4 linked regions of the Saccharomyces cerevisiae S288C genome follow. The gene in region 4 interacts genetically with the main gene of each other region. Each region holds a gene or a part of one and is shown on either strand. Other genes may lie near its edges.

What was found.
Region 1: mutations in LYS20 (region 4) and MKS1 together harm fitness more than expected from each alone (negative genetic interaction), as found in Saccharomyces cerevisiae (2 studies listed by BioGRID).
Region 2: mutations in LYS20 (region 4) and IDH2 together harm fitness more than expected from each alone (negative genetic interaction), as found in Saccharomyces cerevisiae (3 studies listed by BioGRID).
Region 3: mutations in LYS20 (region 4) and MGR1 together harm fitness more than expected from each alone (negative genetic interaction), as found in Saccharomyces cerevisiae (2 studies listed by BioGRID).

The regions. Positions count from the first base shown.
Region 1 is NC_001146.8:481,216-486,098, forward strand, and holds MKS1 (Mks1p), read left to right. Parts: upstream 1-2,340; coding exon 2,341-4,095; downstream 4,096-4,883. Other genes in the region: APJ1 (Apj1p), read left to right, coding at 176-1,762; snoRNA-binding rRNA-processing protein IMP4, read left to right, coding at 4,392-4,883. UniProt on the Saccharomyces cerevisiae protein: Negative regulator of Ras-cAMP pathway. Involved in transcriptional regulation of galactose-inducible genes.
Region 2 is NC_001147.6:577,762-582,463, forward strand, and holds IDH2 (isocitrate dehydrogenase (NAD(+)) IDH2), read left to right. Parts: upstream 1-2,488; coding exon 2,489-3,598; downstream 3,599-4,702. Other genes in the region: GTPase-activating protein BAG7, read left to right, coding at 803-2,032; SIA1 (Sia1p), read right to left, coding at 4,052-4,702. UniProt on the Saccharomyces cerevisiae protein: Performs an essential role in the oxidative function of the citric acid cycle. Also binds RNA; specifically to the 5'-untranslated leaders of mitochondrial mRNAs.
Region 3 is NC_001135.5:46,611-51,367, reverse strand, and holds MGR1 (Mgr1p), read left to right. Parts: upstream 1-3,003; coding exon 3,004-4,257; downstream 4,258-4,757. Other genes in the region: GLK1 (glucokinase), read right to left, coding at 1-530; YCL042W (uncharacterized protein), read right to left, coding at 425-784; protein disulfide isomerase PDI1, read left to right, coding at 1,147-2,715; EMC1 (Emc1p), read left to right, coding at 4,463-4,757. UniProt on the Saccharomyces cerevisiae protein: Component of the mitochondrial inner membrane i-AAA protease supercomplex required for mitochondrial inner membrane protein turnover. Together with MGR3, functions in an adapter complex that targets substrates to the i-AAA protease for degradation.
Region 4 is NC_001136.10:131,019-135,830, forward strand, and holds LYS20 (homocitrate synthase LYS20), read left to right. Parts: upstream 1-2,418; coding exon 2,419-3,705; downstream 3,706-4,812. Other genes in the region: MRX19 (Mrx19p), read right to left, coding at 1-815; INH1 (ATPase inhibitor), read left to right, coding at 4,161-4,418. UniProt on the Saccharomyces cerevisiae protein: Catalyzes the aldol-type condensation of 2-oxoglutarate with acetyl-CoA to yield homocitrate. Carries out the first step of the alpha-aminoadipate (AAA) lysine biosynthesis pathway.

The sequences.
Region 1 (4,883 bases), on a different chromosome or scaffold from region 4:
ATACTGATAGGAATAGATTATAATAGTATTCAACATTCATCAAACAGTTTATATCGGTAATAAACCAACCTCACGATACAGTGATTATTTCTCTAAACAACACGAGCCGTACTGTACCTACGATAAAGTAAAACACATTTTTCTTTTGCTACCAGTGGACACAAGATAACGGAGAATGCAACAAAACACGTCTTTATATGACTCTTTGAACGTTACTGCCGCTGCATCCACATCTGAGATTAAGAAAGCTTACAGGAACGCTGCATTAAAATATCATCCTGATAAAAACAATCATACAGAAGAATCCAAGCGAAAGTTTCAAGAGATATGCCAGGCATACGAAATACTTAAAGACAATCGTTTAAGAGCTTTGTATGACCAGTACGGTACCACAGATGAAGTCCTGATTCAAGAGCAGCAGGCGCAGGCGCAACGCCAACAAGCCGGGCCGTTCAGTTCATCCTCAAATTTCGATACGGAAGCAATGTCATTCCCGGATCTATCTCCAGGTGATCTTTTCGCGCAGTTTTTTAATAGTTCTGCTACCCCCTCTTCTAATGGCTCCAAAAGCAGTTTTAATTTTAGCTTCAATAATAGCTCTACGCCGAGCTTCTCCTTTGTTAATGGCAGTGGCGTGAACAATCTGTACTCCTCGTCAGCAAAATACAACTCCAACGATGAGGACCATCATTTGGATAGAGGCCCTGATATCAAACATAATCTAAAGTGCACATTGAAGGAACTCTACATGGGTAAGACTGCAAAGTTGGGTTTGAATAGGACAAGGATTTGCAGTGTTTGTGATGGGCACGGTGGTCTAAAGAAATGCACTTGTAAAACATGCAAAGGGCAAGGTATTCAAACCCAAACTAGGCGTATGGGACCTCTAGTACAAAGTTGGTCTCAAACTTGTGCAGATTGCGGGGGTGCCGGGGTTTTTGTCAAAAATAAAGATATTTGCCAACAGTGCCAAGGTCTTGGCTTCATTAAGGAGAGGAAGATTCTACAAGTCACCGTTCAACCGGGATCGTGTCATAACCAACTTATAGTACTTACGGGCGAAGGTGACGAAGTTATTAGTACTAAGGGAGGCGGTCACGAAAAGGTAATACCTGGTGACGTCGTTATCACCATTTTACGTTTAAAAGATCCGAATTTCCAGGTTATCAACTACTCCAATTTGATATGTAAGAAGTGCAAAATCGACTTCATGACCAGTTTATGTGGAGGCGTAGTTTATATTGAAGGGCACCCTAGCGGTAAGTTGATCAAACTTGATATTATACCTGGCGAGATACTGAAGCCTGGTTGTTTCAAGACTGTTGAGGACATGGGGATGCCCAAGTTTATCAACGGTGTTCGGAGCGGTTTCGGTCATCTATATGTCAAATTCGATGTGACGTATCCAGAGAGACTGGAACCTGAAAATGCTAAGAAAATACAAAATATTCTGGCTAATGATAAATACATTAAAGCAGAACGTTCCACCATGGAAACCGCAGATTCAGACTGCTATTGCGATTTGGAGAAGTCATATGACAGTGTGGAAGAGCATGTGTTAAGTAGCTTTGAGGCCCCTAATTTAAACAATGAAGTTATTGAAGACGACGACCTTGGTGATTTGATTAATGAAAGAGATTCTCGGAAAAGGAACAACCGTCGATTCGACGAAAGTAATATTAATAATAATAATGAAACGAAACGAAATAAATATTCTTCACCGGTAAGCGGTTTTTATGACCATGATATTAATGGATATTGAAGGTTATATAGTCATGCAGTAATGTTATACATTTTCTATTTTTATTTTTTGTATCAGTACTCTATCTATAAGGACATTCCTTTTTTTAAGCAATGCGGAAAGATACGCTATTCTTCCTGTGGATGGTTTACCGCGGTTTGGGTGGTAATATCATTGCAGCCCTAGTCCTTTAGCAGTTTTTTTAGCGTGTAATACATTGTTATTCATCTTTTTCTTAGTGCCTGCCAAGAGATCGTGGGAGGTTACTTAACAGAAAAGCAAAAAAAAAAACCGATTAGAATGTGCATGCCGTTGTTACAGAGAAGCAAGGGAAGTTCACCACTGATCATATTTCTAAGTTCATCAAAATATCGTTTTGGTTTCAGCAGTAGGGATCTTTAACCCAAGTGTTCATTTTCTTTCCTTTTTGCTTTTTATTTGAATGATCTGAACAAAAGGAGAAACATATACTGTACTATTGCGTGAAAACGAACAGAGCACAACCCTCAAGAAAAAAGAGAACTACCCCTTAGTTCCATCTCATTTACTTAAGCAACACTTCCTAATTATTCTCTAATCCTAATAAAAAAAAAGAACTGATGTCGCGGGAGGCATTTGATGTACCGAATATAGGTACTAACAAGTTTTTAAAAGTCACACCTAATTTATTTACCCCAGAGCGATTGAATTTATTTGATGATGTCGAACTATATCTTACGTTAATAAAAGCATCCAAATGTGTCGAGCAGGGAGAAAGGCTGCACAATATAAGTTGGAGAATTCTGAATAAAGCTGTTCTAAAGGAGCATAATATTAATCGATCTAAAAAAAGAGACGGCGTGAAGAACATATATTATGTGTTAAATCCAAACAACAAACAGCCAATAAAGCCAAAGCAGGCAGCAGTAAAGCAGCCACCATTACAAAAGGCCAATTTGCCTCCCACAACGGCAAAACAGAACGTTTTAACTCGGCCAATGACATCACCAGCTATCGCACAGGGTGCTCACGATAGATCCTTGGATAATCCTAATTCTACAAACAATGATGTGAAAAATGACGTTGCTCCAAACAGACAATTCTCCAAATCTACTACGTCAGGGTTGTTTTCAAATTTTGCAGACAAATATCAAAAAATGAAAAATGTGAACCATGTTGCTAATAAGGAAGAACCACAAACTATTATCACTGGTTTTGATACAAGCACTGTTATAACCAAGAAACCTTTACAATCAAGACGCTCAAGATCACCTTTCCAGCATATAGGAGACATGAACATGAACTGCATTGATAATGAGACTTCCAAGAGTACCAGTCCTACTCTTGAAAATATGGGAAGTAGAAAATCCTCTTTTCCTCAGAAGGAATCTTTATTCGGAAGGCCAAGGTCTTACAAGAATGACCAAAATGGTCAACTGTCACTTTCGAAAACATCCTCTAGAAAAGGAAAAAACAAGATATTTTTCAGCAGTGAAGATGAAGATTCCGATTGGGACAGCGTTTCGAATGATTCAGAATTCTACGCTGATGAAGATGATGAAGAGTACGATGATTATAATGAGGAAGAAGCAGATCAGTACTATAGAAGACAATGGGACAAGCTTTTATTTGCCAAAAATCAACAGAATCTTGACTCAACGAAATCATCTGTTTCATCAGCGAACACAATCAACTCAAACACATCCCATGATCCCGTACGAAAAAGTTTACTCAGTGGACTATTCCTTAGTGAGGCAAATAGCAACAGTAATAACCACAATACTGCACATAGTGAATACGCTTCTAAACACGTTTCGCCGACTCCTCAGTCCTCTCATAGTAATATCGGTCCTCAACCGCAGCAAAATCCACCGAGCGCTAATGGTATAAAACAACAAAAACCTTCTTTGAAAACAAGCAACGTGACAGCTCTAGCATCGCTATCTCCCCCGCAACCATCCAACAATGAGCGGTTATCGATGGATATACAAAAGGACTTCAAAACTGATAATGAGTCCAATCATTTATATGAATCTAATGCTCCGCTAACTGCTCAAACTATACTGCCCACCGCCTTATCTACTCACATGTTTTTGCCAAATAACATTCACCAACAACGAATGGCGATTGCCACTGGTAGTAATACGCGACATCGTTTTTCGAGGCGGCAGTCGATGGATATCCCATCCAAGAACAGGAATACTGGGTTTTTGAAGACCAGAATGGAGATCTCTGAGGAAGAAAAGATGGTACGTACAATATCACGGCTTGACAATACGAGTATTGCAAACAGTAATGGAAATGGTAATGATGACACCTCTAATCAGAGAACGGAAGCACTGGGGCGTAAGACGAGTAATGGAGGGCGAATATGATTACTAAGTTAAATAAATCAGATACAGTATTTAAAGTTCTTTCAAAAAAAGATAATGTCATATATTTTACTATCTACGCAGTGAAAGAGTTCCTTCTAATGACACACTATTCACTTCGGGTAACGGATATTGTGTACTGAAAAATATAAAAAATTTTATCCCGGAAATGCGATGAGATGAAAATGCATGAAGTAGCGTATATATTGATTGCATGAGGTTGGACTTGAAAGGGCATATATACTCGGTTTTATCATTGATTCAAGTGTTCCCATAAATAATAAAACAGTTAAATCGAAATGCTAAGAAGACAAGCCCGTGAAAGGAGAGAATATCTATACAGAAAAGCGCAAGAATTACAAGATTCTCAACTGCAACAAAAACGTCAAATAATTAAACAAGCGCTAGCTCAGGGGAAGCCATTGCCAAAGGAACTAGCAGAAGATGAGAGTTTACAAAAGGATTTCAGATATGACCAAAGTTTAAAGGAGAGCGAAGAAGCAGATGATCTACAGGTTGATGATGAATATGCTGCCACAAGTGGTATAATGGATCCAAGAATCATCGTCACAACATCTCGTGACCCAAGCACTCGTCTCTCGCAATTTGCCAAAGAAATTAAACTGCTATTTCCAAATGCTGTCAGGCTGAACAGAGGTAATTATGTGATGCCAAATCTAGTGGATGCTTGTAAAAAATCCGGTACTACAGATTTGGTGGTATTACATGAACATAGAGGTGTTCCAACTTCTTTGACCATATCACATTTTCCACATGGACCCACTGCACAG
Region 2 (4,702 bases), on a different chromosome or scaffold from region 4:
CATTTTTGTCATATAGTTATATTCCGAATGTTTACAATCGAACCCATCATAAAAATGGACCTTTTCGTATTACCGCCCCCTTTGTAGAGGGGGAGGAACGGCAACTTCTTGACTATTACGACGTATCACCACCCCGTTAGATATACTATGGAAAAAACTATTAAAAACCATTATAATTCATTAATGACATCGGTCCTGAGGTAGTATTACGTATAACTTACCTGGCTCTTGGTCATAGCTTTTTATCCGTTTACGAAAAAAGGAGAAGAAGATTGGGCTTCCGCGGCTATTGTTTGGTTTATACCCCGCCGTATGTTGGTGCTTCTATAATTAGAGCGAAATAGGAAATACAAAAAATCCTTGGAGGGGAGGACCAGCCTCATCGGGCTAAAACTCCCTCAAAACCGGAGGGGCAACCAAAGTATATATCTCATTATGGCCGATACTTCTAGAGGCGCACTAACAGAAGCACCTCAGCCCCTGCAGGTGAAAGAAAGAGGTAATTAATTTTCCGGTTACTTACTTTCTCTCGCTATTGGGGAAAGCGTTGGTTCGAGGCGTTGAGGTCGAAGACAATCATTGTTTTCTTCTTATTTAAGTACATCTTTAGAAGAAAATTACACAACTGGAATGAGTAAATCAATACTTGCTTTGTGTTCCCATTGTTAGATACTCTTGTTTTAGCATGTGATAGCAGTATATAATATAACCTGCAAAATAATCGAAACGCGTACACAGGAAAGAGTACATAAATAACCATAGTATATTTCTGGACATATCTTATTACACAACATAAAATAGAATGTTTAACATGAATCTACTTTCTACACCTTCTTCTGAAGAGGGTTCTCCACAGAATAGGTCATCTTCAATGTCTTCTGTTGAGGGCAAGAAGGATAGGGACACCTTTACTAATTTGCAAAACGAATTTGATGGTAAAGTATTTGGCGTCTCACTCGAGGAATCACTGAAAGTTGCTCAAGAGGAAGTAATTATCCAAAAAAGTACAAATGAAATTGGTTCCATACCGGTGGTAATAGCAAAAAGTGGGAAATACCTAAAAGAGAATGCATTAGACACAACAGGAATTTTCCGTATTGCGGGAAGCAATAAACGTGTTAGAGAGCTACAAGCTGTTTTCTCTAAACCGCCCGATTATGGTCGTAAATTTGAAGGATGGTGTGATTTCAATGTTCATGACATTGCAACTTTATTAAAAAGATATTTGAACTCATTAAGTGAGCCTTTGGTTCCCCTAGCATTATACGACATTTTTAGAAATCCAATATTAGAAAACCCAAAAATAAATGAGCACAAAGAACAAATCATTAAGGACTACGAAGATATTTATATGCTCTTACCACAACAAAATCGCCATTTAATACTTTATTTAGCCGCGCTCTTGAATTTATTTGCAAGAAATGAAAAGAAGAATTTAATGTCAGCAAGCAATTTAGCGGCCATCGTACAACCCTCACTTTTGTCTCATCCCAAGGATGAAATGTGCCCGAAAGAGTATGAGGCTTCCAGAACTGTCATCGAATTCCTCATACTACACGCTTCAGATATAATACCGAATACGGAAAAAGCGAATAAGGACACCATGCCGCATGCAGGAACAGTAGCAAAGTTTAACAACATTACCGTTCCTGAAATGGCTATTGACTCCGATGAAGAAGATTTTGTGCACCCTTCAATAGATGACCATATGCTTCCAAGGTCACGTGCACTTTCTGACTCCAACAATTTTACCATACATCATCATCATCATCATCATCATGCACTGTTTCCTAGCCCAATAGATTTTGATAACAATGGGCTTTCTGTACCGAGATCCTTTAAAGGTAGAACATTGAGTGCAGAGTCCCTTTCTCCCAGACTTAGTAAATTACTTGGGAACGTTGGAAACAGCAGCAATACTGGCATCAAAGACCCTACAGAAAGAGTTCCTAGAGGTGAACATAAAACCAAACACAAACAACGACAGTCATGGTTGAGAAGACTCACTAGCCCTTCTAGAACGCAGCCTTAGCTTCCTAAGCACTGTGATCTGCTAGTCGATTCCGAGGTTCGGCGAAGAAATTGTCGTTGCCCCGCCAGGGGCCTTTTGCGATACTCGGCGCTTCTTTCAGCAATCTCGGTCCGCATCTCGGCAAGGGGGGGCATGACACGGGCCGCTCTGGTTGGTCAGTTCCTATTTTCTGTAACTTCCATTGTTTGGTTAAAGAATATATAAGTTATTGAAAAGCTCATAGGTCCCTTATTATAGGCCCTAAGGTTTTAGTTTCTCATCATAGTCATATCAGAAAAACCCTCCTTCTAAAGTTTTCCTCTTTTCTTATTTCTTTTTCATTTATTATTCATATTTATATAAATATATATTCCAAGTGCATGACATTATTGGATACACTTTTTCTGAACCTGAATTACCTTGGTAGATAATAAGATACAGATCGGGAACGAACAACAATTATAATATTTTTTAATAATGTTGAGAAATACTTTTTTTAGAAACACCTCGAGGAGGTTTTTGGCTACTGTAAAGCAACCTTCAATCGGAAGATATACCGGCAAACCTAACCCTTCTACCGGCAAATACACGGTCTCGTTCATTGAAGGTGATGGTATCGGACCTGAAATTTCCAAGTCTGTAAAGAAAATCTTTAGTGCAGCAAACGTCCCCATAGAATGGGAATCTTGTGATGTTAGCCCTATCTTTGTCAACGGATTAACGACCATTCCTGACCCTGCCGTACAATCTATCACAAAAAACCTGGTTGCACTAAAAGGTCCACTAGCTACACCTATTGGTAAAGGTCACAGATCTTTGAATTTGACATTGAGAAAAACATTTGGGTTATTTGCCAACGTTCGTCCCGCAAAGTCTATTGAAGGTTTTAAGACCACTTACGAAAACGTTGATTTAGTTCTTATCAGAGAGAATACCGAAGGTGAATATTCTGGTATCGAACACATAGTTTGCCCTGGCGTTGTTCAATCTATTAAACTGATCACAAGAGATGCCTCTGAGCGAGTCATTAGATACGCTTTTGAATATGCAAGAGCCATCGGCAGACCAAGAGTTATTGTGGTACATAAATCTACTATCCAGAGATTAGCTGATGGTTTATTCGTTAATGTTGCCAAAGAACTATCCAAAGAGTATCCTGACCTTACTTTAGAAACTGAACTTATTGATAACAGTGTGTTAAAGGTGGTCACCAACCCATCTGCTTACACAGACGCTGTTTCTGTTTGTCCAAATCTATACGGTGATATCTTGTCCGACTTGAACTCTGGTTTGAGCGCCGGTTCTTTAGGTTTAACTCCATCTGCCAATATTGGTCATAAAATCTCGATCTTTGAAGCTGTCCATGGCTCTGCCCCTGATATTGCCGGTCAAGATAAAGCGAATCCAACTGCCCTACTTTTATCTTCAGTAATGATGTTAAACCACATGGGTCTAACGAATCATGCTGACCAAATTCAAAATGCAGTATTGTCTACTATCGCATCAGGTCCAGAAAACAGAACAGGTGACTTGGCTGGTACTGCTACTACTTCATCATTCACTGAAGCAGTCATCAAGAGATTATAAAAGTCCTATTCTTTTCCCTCTCAGGTTTTTTCACGCCTTGAAAACAAATGACTATCCGTTTAATATAATGATTTCTGAAAGATTATGAAGTAAAAAAAAGCAAAATGCTTAGATATATAATATATACATACAATAAAAATTCCGTATCTACTCCAAACTTCTATGGCTTTGTCCTCAATGTGTTCTGATGTTTATTTAATAGCCTGAAGTTTTTATTAAGTATGTATACTTTTCGATATTTATTCTTTTAATAATGCTACAGGAGACCATAAGTGATAACTCAAAATGTCCCTCAGTGGACTTGTAAACCAAAAAAAAAAAAAAAGAAAAAGAATTAAATATATTATGTGTAAAAAGAAAACACCACCGTGTGTTATGTATATTTTGTTTATGTCTATCTATCATCTATCCTGCTGGCAGTCAATGTTCACCTTACAAAATTAATCATTGAAATTATTGCTTCCCCTTATAGATGTACTGATAATCGTAAACCTCGTCAACAAGATTGCTATTCCTCTTCCACGAAGTTATTTCGTCCAAAATATCATCCAAGTTAAATAATCTAACGGTTGGATATATACCTTGGATTCTCGGCAAGCCTATACCAGCGGACCCACCGTAACATAACCACATCTCATTTTTTGACTGTAAGCAACAGTCATTATTATGTTCATGTCCGCAACTGACACCCTTTATATTCCAAAGACTCAGGATATCAAGGAAGCTTTTGTAATGTTTGCCATTGATCGTCATTGAAACTTGTCCTCTAGACCTTGGCGTATCTACTGTTAAGGTAGACCTCTCATTATACTGCCCAATAATAGGAAATAAACCATGAGGCCTATATTCCGATAATGGAAAATATTGAAATGCCAAGCCAAAGTCTATTTTCCCAATCAGGTCGTTATAATCTTGTAGGAAATTATTGACGGGCGCAAATGAATCAAAGACGAAAAATAAAGCCTCTGATGGGTTTGTTTCGTCTTCGGTATCAATGTCTCTTTCCAAAAGAGTATTCTTCGTGAGCTTCTTTTTAAATGAGACTTCTATGGCCATATGACCCTCTTCTGATGCAACGTTGTTAAATGTGTAAGGTAAATTCCT
Region 3 (4,757 bases), on a different chromosome or scaffold from region 4:
AATGTCCCGGAGTTTAGAGAGGTCTGGTCTACAGGGTATGAGAAAGTGAACCCCAGTTTCATGGGCTTGGCGTCTTTACCCTTGGCCAACTCGTCCGGGTGATACTTCTTCATAAAGGCCAGTGTACGACGTGCTAGAAACCCAAACAGGTCGTCAGATGTGACGTTCTCATCGTCTAGCAAATCATCGGGAATCTTGGACTTCATTTGCTCCATGGAGAAAGTATGATCTCCATGCAAGTTAACAGAACATATACGGAAATTGGTACCACCCAGGTCGGCGGCTAGTAAAACACCGCGCTCCGTCCCGTTGGGTGACCCGGTGACGAACGCCGGAATCATAGGAAGACCTTTGTCCGAGGCCAATGTGTGGCCTTCCTTTGGTGGAGCTAGACCTTTTTCCATTTGTTCGATGAAGTAAGCAGTTAATTCGTCCAGCTTCTCGGGGGTAACCTCGAAATCGTCGCAGATCTGGTCCACGGCCTGGATGACCGCTCTCTCAGTGGCTTTGTGTAAGTCGTCGAATGACATCTTGTGTATGATAGAGTTGTATTAGTGGTGGTGTTGTGGTTTACGGAAGCTGAGTTGGGCACTGATGGGGGGGTTGGGGGTTCTGTTGATAGCGGATATTTATATGGGCGCGTTTTCATTAGTGCCCACCGTTTGAGCGTGGTGTGACACCACGCCCAAGATAGGGGGCCCCCTGAAAGGGGTTGACCGTCCGTCGGCACACCACTTATAATGCGGGGTGCAAGCGCCGCGTCTAAAATTTTTTTTTTTTCCATTTTTGTCGTTATTGTTATTTCCCGTTTTTTGTTTTTTTTGATTTTTTCGGAGCGACAAACCTTTCGAAACACGTGTCCTGAAAATTATCCTGGGCTGCACGTGATAATATGTTACCCTGTCGGGCGGCGCCTCTTTTTCCCTTTTCTCTCACTAGTCTCTTTTTCCAATTTGCCACCGTGTAGCATTTTGTTGTGCTGTTACAACCACAACAAAACGAAAAACCCGTATGGACATACATATATATATATATATATATATATATTTTGTTACGCGTGCATTTTCTTGTTGCAAGCAGCATGTCTAATTGGTAATTTTAAAGCTGCCAAGCTCTACATAAAGAAAAACATACATCTATCCCGTTATGAAGTTTTCTGCTGGTGCCGTCCTGTCATGGTCCTCCCTGCTGCTCGCCTCCTCTGTTTTCGCCCAACAAGAGGCTGTGGCCCCTGAAGACTCCGCTGTCGTTAAGTTGGCCACCGACTCCTTCAATGAGTACATTCAGTCGCACGACTTGGTGCTTGCGGAGTTTTTTGCTCCATGGTGTGGCCACTGTAAGAACATGGCTCCTGAATACGTTAAAGCCGCCGAGACTTTAGTTGAGAAAAACATTACCTTGGCCCAGATCGACTGTACTGAAAACCAGGATCTGTGTATGGAACACAACATTCCAGGGTTCCCAAGCTTGAAGATTTTCAAAAACAGCGATGTTAACAACTCGATCGATTACGAGGGACCTAGAACTGCCGAGGCCATTGTCCAATTCATGATCAAGCAAAGCCAACCGGCTGTCGCCGTTGTTGCTGATCTACCAGCTTACCTTGCTAACGAGACTTTTGTCACTCCAGTTATCGTCCAATCCGGTAAGATTGACGCCGACTTCAACGCCACCTTTTACTCCATGGCCAACAAACACTTCAACGACTACGACTTTGTCTCCGCTGAAAACGCAGACGATGATTTCAAGCTTTCTATTTACTTGCCCTCCGCCATGGACGAGCCTGTAGTATACAACGGTAAGAAAGCCGATATCGCTGACGCTGATGTTTTTGAAAAATGGTTGCAAGTGGAAGCCTTGCCCTACTTTGGTGAAATCGACGGTTCCGTTTTCGCCCAATACGTCGAAAGCGGTTTGCCTTTGGGTTACTTATTCTACAATGACGAGGAAGAATTGGAAGAATACAAGCCTCTCTTTACCGAGTTGGCCAAAAAGAACAGAGGTCTAATGAACTTTGTTAGCATCGATGCCAGAAAATTCGGCAGACACGCCGGCAACTTGAACATGAAGGAACAATTCCCTCTATTTGCCATCCACGACATGACTGAAGACTTGAAGTACGGTTTGCCTCAACTCTCTGAAGAGGCGTTTGACGAATTGAGCGACAAGATCGTGTTGGAGTCTAAGGCTATTGAATCTTTGGTTAAGGACTTCTTGAAAGGTGATGCCTCCCCAATCGTGAAGTCCCAAGAGATCTTCGAGAACCAAGATTCCTCTGTCTTCCAATTGGTCGGTAAGAACCATGACGAAATCGTCAACGACCCAAAGAAGGACGTTCTTGTTTTGTACTATGCCCCATGGTGTGGTCACTGTAAGAGATTGGCCCCAACTTACCAAGAACTAGCTGATACCTACGCCAACGCCACATCCGACGTTTTGATTGCTAAACTAGACCACACTGAAAACGATGTCAGAGGCGTCGTAATTGAAGGTTACCCAACAATCGTCTTATACCCAGGTGGTAAGAAGTCCGAATCTGTTGTGTACCAAGGTTCAAGATCCTTGGACTCTTTATTCGACTTCATCAAGGAAAACGGTCACTTCGACGTCGACGGTAAGGCCTTGTACGAAGAAGCCCAGGAAAAAGCTGCTGAGGAAGCCGATGCTGACGCTGAATTGGCTGACGAAGAAGATGCCATTCACGATGAATTGTAATTCTGATCACTTTGGTTTTTCATTAAATAGAGATATATAAGAAATTTTCTAGGAAGTTTTTTTAAAAAAATCATAAAAAGATAAACGTTAAAATTCAAACACAATAGTTGTTCGCTATATTCGTCACACTGCACGAACGCCTTAGGGAAAGAGAAAATTGACCACGTAGTAATAATAAGTGCATGGCATCGTCTTTTACTTAAATGTGGACACTTGCTTTACTGCTTAGGAAACTACTTATCTCATCCTCCTCCATTCCCTCTCCTTTTCCAATTACCGTAATAAAAGATGGCTGTATTTACTCCTCCATCAGGTAATAGCAATTCCACCGACCATACTCACACACAAGATGACCACGACAAAGATGATAATGATATCAAGAAATTCTACATAAGGCCAAGTTTAGGCTTAAAACTGTGGGGTCCGCTCGTACCCGCTCCTGATAACCTACCGGGACTATACACTCTAATCACTATCCAATCTGCAGTGGGTTTCTTTGCCCTTTGGAGACTGAGAAGGCTCTACAAACTACCGCCACCGCGCCGCATTGCCACTGGCACTCACTCGGATTTATCCTTTGGCGAACTACCCAGTGAAATGATTGTCAATGGCAAGACTAAAATCAAAAAGGATATTGCTGACTTTCCAACTTTGAACCGCTTCTCCACCACCCATGGTGACATTGTGCTCGCCCCTCCTCCCATCATACCTCGCCAATCTCGATTCGTCAGCGTCAGAAAGCTCTTATGGGGGTTGTTTGGCTCTTTGCTACTTTCTCAGTCACTGTTGGAGCTTACTCGCCTGAACTTTCTTAAATACGACCCCTGGTGCGACGAAATGAAATCCGTACGTGACAAGAAGTTTTTCAACAATATTGTCAAATATTATCACGAGGGCATAGACCCCACCAAAATAAAAGTCAAGGATGCTATGAACGGTACTCCTCTCTCGACAAATATCCCTGAGGTCAAACAAAGCGTCGCTCTCGCTAGAGCGCAAGTTGAGGCGCAGAATCCCATTATTAAATGGTTCGGACCCTTGGAATACAAGCCCATGTCTTTCAACGAGTACCTCAATCGCATGGAATTTCACTTGGACATGTTCGAGTTTTTTCAAAATAAAAGAAACATTAGAGAAAATTCCATTGAACTCATCAATTCCATATCCCACAATCCGCAGTCTTCTTCTACTGGCCTTGAAGGTCTTTCCGAGTCCAAAAAACTCCATCTACAAAATGTGGAAAAAAGACTGCATTTCTTAGCATCTTCGGGAGATTCCATTTCCGCACCAGTAAAGAAGAGATCCAGCACCACACTCTCCCGAGGTGTCATTTTGCCCCATGACACGAAAGGCCCGCAAGATATTGATCTCGATACAATAAGATCGCTTTATGATCCATGGATGACTTTGGCCTTAGAAACTTCGCTAAGCATCAAATTCATACCAACTACCATGCCCTCCCATACCAAGACACCCACTAGCACGGACCAGCCGTTACCAGGGCCTACCCCCAAGGCTCTCACTAATGAAAAGACACATTAGGTCTTTGCGGATTGCTTAGTTGTACCGTGCGTATATTAAATCCTTCTTCGTACACCGTGATTTTTCAGACGGCTACCAGAGAAAATATGGCTGGGATTTCATATTATATATGCAAATATATAATAACATATATATATATACACTCCATTAATAACTAATACCTACATTCATATCAACACTTTCATCCTCCCCTTCCCCCATAGCAATGAAGATAACGTGTACAGACTTGGTGTACGTCTTCATTTTACTCTTCCTAAACACGAGTTGTGTCCAAGCCGTTTTTTCAGATGATGCATTTATCACTGATTGGCAACTGGCTAACTTAGGTCCTTGGGAGAAAGTCATCCCTGATTCTCGAGACCGCAACAGGGTTCTCATCTTATCGAACCCTACCGAAACTTCCTGCTTAGTTTCTTCGTTTAACGTTTCTTCCGGACAGATTCTTTTCAGAAACGTTTTACCCTTTACCATTGATGAGATTCAACTGGATAGTAATGACC
Region 4 (4,812 bases):
TGATTGCCCTGCGTACGGCTGCTGGTCCCACGTTTATATACTTCCGTATATCCCAACAGTTCCCTGAATTCTAAATTTTGTTTTGAACTTTCCAGTAGACTCTTCAAGTGCTTAGCACCAAGGTAAGCTTTGATATTAACATAAGCTCTATAAGATAGGTAGAACCCTGGAACATTTGGTATAAGCGGTATTAAAATTAGAGGAATTGTCAGCGGGAGACCTAAAAGGCAATATAAAGTCCATTTTTTGTGATAAATTAAGCCTTCTTGGTAGAGCTTTTTCATTTGTCTCAAGCACTCATCAGGGCTAGAAATTCCAGGGGGATAATACACGTGTAAGGGTTGAGTATCGACCTGTTCTGCCTTTACGGTATAATCTTTCAATGTGAGTCGAATCTCTTGGGTCTTATCTTTCTCTCCCTTAATTCTCTTCAATATATAGCTTTCACTTGGTATGGTTAACAGACTATTTTCTGACCAGGGTGTGCTATTTAACAGAGACTGCACCATGGACACTATTTTTTTATTATACGATTTAGGGGACTTTTTCAGTTTTCTCCAAAGCTTTGCTGATTTCTCAACGATCCACTTTTCTGCTTTTAATATTCTAGACTGACTATTAAAGAGATTATCGGTATGCTTATAGTAAATGAATGATTCTTTGTCCGTTATTGGTATCACAGTCACTTTAACAGGATCATGCAGATATTTTTGGAGTGAAGCCTTTTCAAGTTTTGTTGAATACGCCCTCATTCCGTAGAACAGTCGAGAAGTGGCAGTTATACTAGTTGGCGGTATAAATATTGAACGTATCATCTTTAATCTAAAATACACCGGATGAAGTTTTGGTATTGTGATAAAATGATTCTATCGATGAAGAGCAATGATATGGATACTGCTACGTTGAAAAGGAAAAATTTCATGGCTAACTAGTAACTGAAACTGTGCCAGATAGCACACCCTTTAGATACTATCTTGGCACAATGCCCGATGCTTACTCCCCGGCGGAGACAGCCGTCAAGTCCATCCATCCAAAAGTGGAGGAAAAACAAGAAAATAAAGCTATCGAACAAGGAGCGTTGAAGTAAGAAAAACAAACGAAGAACTGAATAAACACAGCCTGCTTCAAATTATGGAAGGAGCTGTTACACATGGTAATTTTCTTATTTTTTTTGATAGATGGTGGAAAGTGGTAGCGTGGAAGTTGCGGATTATCACGACGTTTTATGGGCTCTAAATCGGTATAAGCTCAACAAATGGTTGAGGGCCGAATAAACGAAAAATTATTAGACCATAATTGCTACCAGCTGAAAGATTATCTCATTATAATACGCTTGAAACCCTCTAAAATGTCATTCGTAGTTAAGTACACTTTTTTGATCTCTCCAAGGTTAGCCGCCCATATAAAAAACTCTAGGAACCAAATTTGGTATACTGCGTGCGCTTGAGATTCAGTTTTTGTGTAAATCGGTTGCTGCAAACTATTTATATTAATGTTACATCGATGCAAGATTTTAGCCATGTTCCTAGTTTCTTGTCTATGAGCGTTTACTCAACCGAGACTCTTGTTTGCTATTATCTCGATTCGACGAACAAACAGTTCCCTGGGTATTCGAACAAAGCACAGTTGGTGATTTTGTTTGAAACTACAGACGTGCTCTCTTTTACAAAATAAATTGTAGGAAGTGATCCGCACAGGCAGAGGGAATTACAGATCACGCTCCTCTCTTATGACTAATGCACTCAGCATTTTCTCTTCCTTATAAACTCCGTCCACAGTACCCGATCAGCTGGCTCATCGTTATTCTAAATTAACTGATGACTGATGTTACGTCTGCGTCAAATTCCGCCGGAATATTGCGTAGTTTTAGTAAGAAAAAAACAAATTCCGACGGGAACTCTCTGCAAGGAAGTTTAAGCGTGGGTTACTTTGCTAGGTTGAGAAAAAGAATTCTTTAGAGGATCACACGTAGTAAAAGAAAAAAAAGATCTCTTCGCGCCACTCCCGGTTTCTCTGTGGATACGGCGTTACTAGCGTTGCAAGTGGCAAAAAAATGAGTAATGTCACAATGGCCTGGCCTTGTCCCACTATCCCTTATTCATGGTTGAAAAATATGACCAAAATTGCTGGGGAATTTTCTCTTCGGTAGTGGACGACGACGACATTAGAGCAATAGGCAATAATTTAATTTGCGCTTTAGGTTCTTGCTGACGATGATGCGTGAGTAATATTATTACCAAGTTTTAAGGGCCTCATCGCTGGCCATTTTTTACACCTGCTTAAATACCCGATGATGATATATATAAATGATATTGGCTGCTTATCGATAAAGTGTATTTGATATGTTCCCGTTTAGTTTATTCTTGTTTCTTATCTACATAACAAACAAAGGAAGGACCCTGTATTGTTTTCCTAAAGATGACTGCTGCTAAACCAAATCCATATGCTGCCAAACCGGGCGACTATCTTTCTAATGTAAATAATTTCCAGTTAATCGATTCGACGCTGAGAGAAGGTGAACAATTTGCCAACGCATTCTTCGATACTGAAAAAAAGATCGAAATTGCTAGAGCCTTGGACGATTTCGGTGTGGACTACATCGAGTTAACCTCACCAGTAGCATCTGAACAATCAAGAAAGGACTGTGAAGCTATATGTAAACTAGGTTTAAAGGCCAAGATCCTTACACACATTCGTTGTCATATGGATGACGCCAAAGTCGCCGTAGAGACTGGTGTCGACGGTGTCGATGTCGTTATCGGCACCTCCAAATTTTTAAGACAATATTCCCACGGTAAGGATATGAACTACATCGCCAAGAGTGCTGTTGAAGTCATTGAATTTGTCAAATCCAAAGGTATTGAAATCAGATTTTCCTCTGAAGATTCCTTCAGAAGTGATCTCGTTGATCTTTTGAACATTTATAAAACCGTTGACAAGATCGGTGTAAATAGAGTCGGTATTGCCGACACAGTTGGATGTGCCAACCCAAGACAAGTATATGAACTGATCAGAACTTTGAAGAGTGTTGTTTCATGTGACATCGAATGCCATTTCCACAACGATACTGGTTGTGCCATTGCAAACGCCTACACTGCTTTGGAAGGTGGTGCCAGATTGATTGACGTCAGTGTACTGGGTATTGGTGAAAGAAACGGTATCACTCCTCTAGGTGGGCTCATGGCAAGAATGATTGTTGCCGCACCAGACTATGTCAAGTCCAAATACAAGTTGCACAAGATCAGAGACATTGAAAACCTGGTCGCTGATGCTGTGGAAGTTAACATTCCATTCAACAACCCTATCACCGGGTTCTGTGCATTCACACATAAAGCAGGTATCCATGCCAAGGCCATTTTGGCTAACCCATCTACCTACGAAATCTTGGACCCTCACGATTTCGGTATGAAGAGGTATATCCACTTCGCCAACAGACTAACTGGCTGGAACGCCATCAAAGCCAGAGTCGACCAGTTGAACTTGAACTTGACGGATGACCAAATCAAGGAAGTTACTGCTAAGATTAAGAAGCTGGGTGATGTCAGATCGCTGAATATCGATGATGTTGACTCTATCATCAAGAACTTCCACGCAGAGGTCAGCACTCCTCAAGTACTATCTGCAAAAAAGAACAAGAAGAATGACAGCGATGTACCGGAACTGGCCACCATCCCCGCCGCCAAGCGGACTAAGCCATCCGCCTAACGTTCCCAAACCATTACATTATGTTCTTTCACTTATTACATACGATATATAGCATCTACATCTACATATCTAAATGATGTTTTTTCCCATCTACTTTGTCCGATACGCATTAAAAGAAGAAGATTTACTCTCCCGTGATGCCGGGCCAATCAGACGCGCGCATTCGCGGCAGAATAAGGGGAGGCTGCTGCGGGTACCAAATATCCAGATATTCACAATTATGCCAATCAACTGTCTAGTTGCTGACACCCATCGTTTTCCACTGCAACGAGGTTTTGGGGCTAGAAAAGGCGTTAACAATCGTTAGAGAAGGAGGGGTTCATAACTTGACTTGTTGTATCTTGTTTAAAACTTTCTTTGAATTTGTTCGTGGTTGAATTTGTTTTTGCTATCCCAAAGGAGTGCATTTTACACGCATTACTACAGCACACTTTTATACAGTTCCACAATAGAATATGTTACCACGTTCAGCATTAGCACGCTCATTGCAATTACAGCGCGGTGTGGCCGCAAGGTTCTACTCTGAAGGTTCTACCGGCACCCCAAGAGGGTCAGGCTCAGAGGATTCGTTTGTTAAAAGGGAAAGGGCCACGGAAGACTTCTTCGTTAGGCAGCGTGAGAAGGAGCAACTACGCCATTTGAAAGAACAACTGGAAAAACAACGAAAGAAGATTGATTCTTTGGAAAATAAAATTGACTCGATGACCAAATAATCATGCGTTTCCGCAGAAGCTTTTTTTTTTTTTTTTTTAGAATATTCTTACTCTTTTATAGTCAAACAGCAGAAAAACTATATAATAATACATCACACTGAGCTTTTGCATTTTCGATAACTATCATTCTAGTTTTCCTCTGGTTTGAATTTTCCTCTTGTCTGTCTGACTAATGTCACTCATTATTTCCACTTCGCGCAAAGTTCGTCCCAATGCGGAAAGGCATAGAAAGATAGGAACAGTGTGGAACATGGAAAAGTTCCAAATAACGTCAATAGTCCATACTTAAGATACGAAATTTCAAAATTCCTTCTTTTTTGTTTCAACAAGCTTAGCCTAACACCAAGAATATACTTAGCATCTCTTCGCATTCAAAATTTCTCTTCCATTCTTT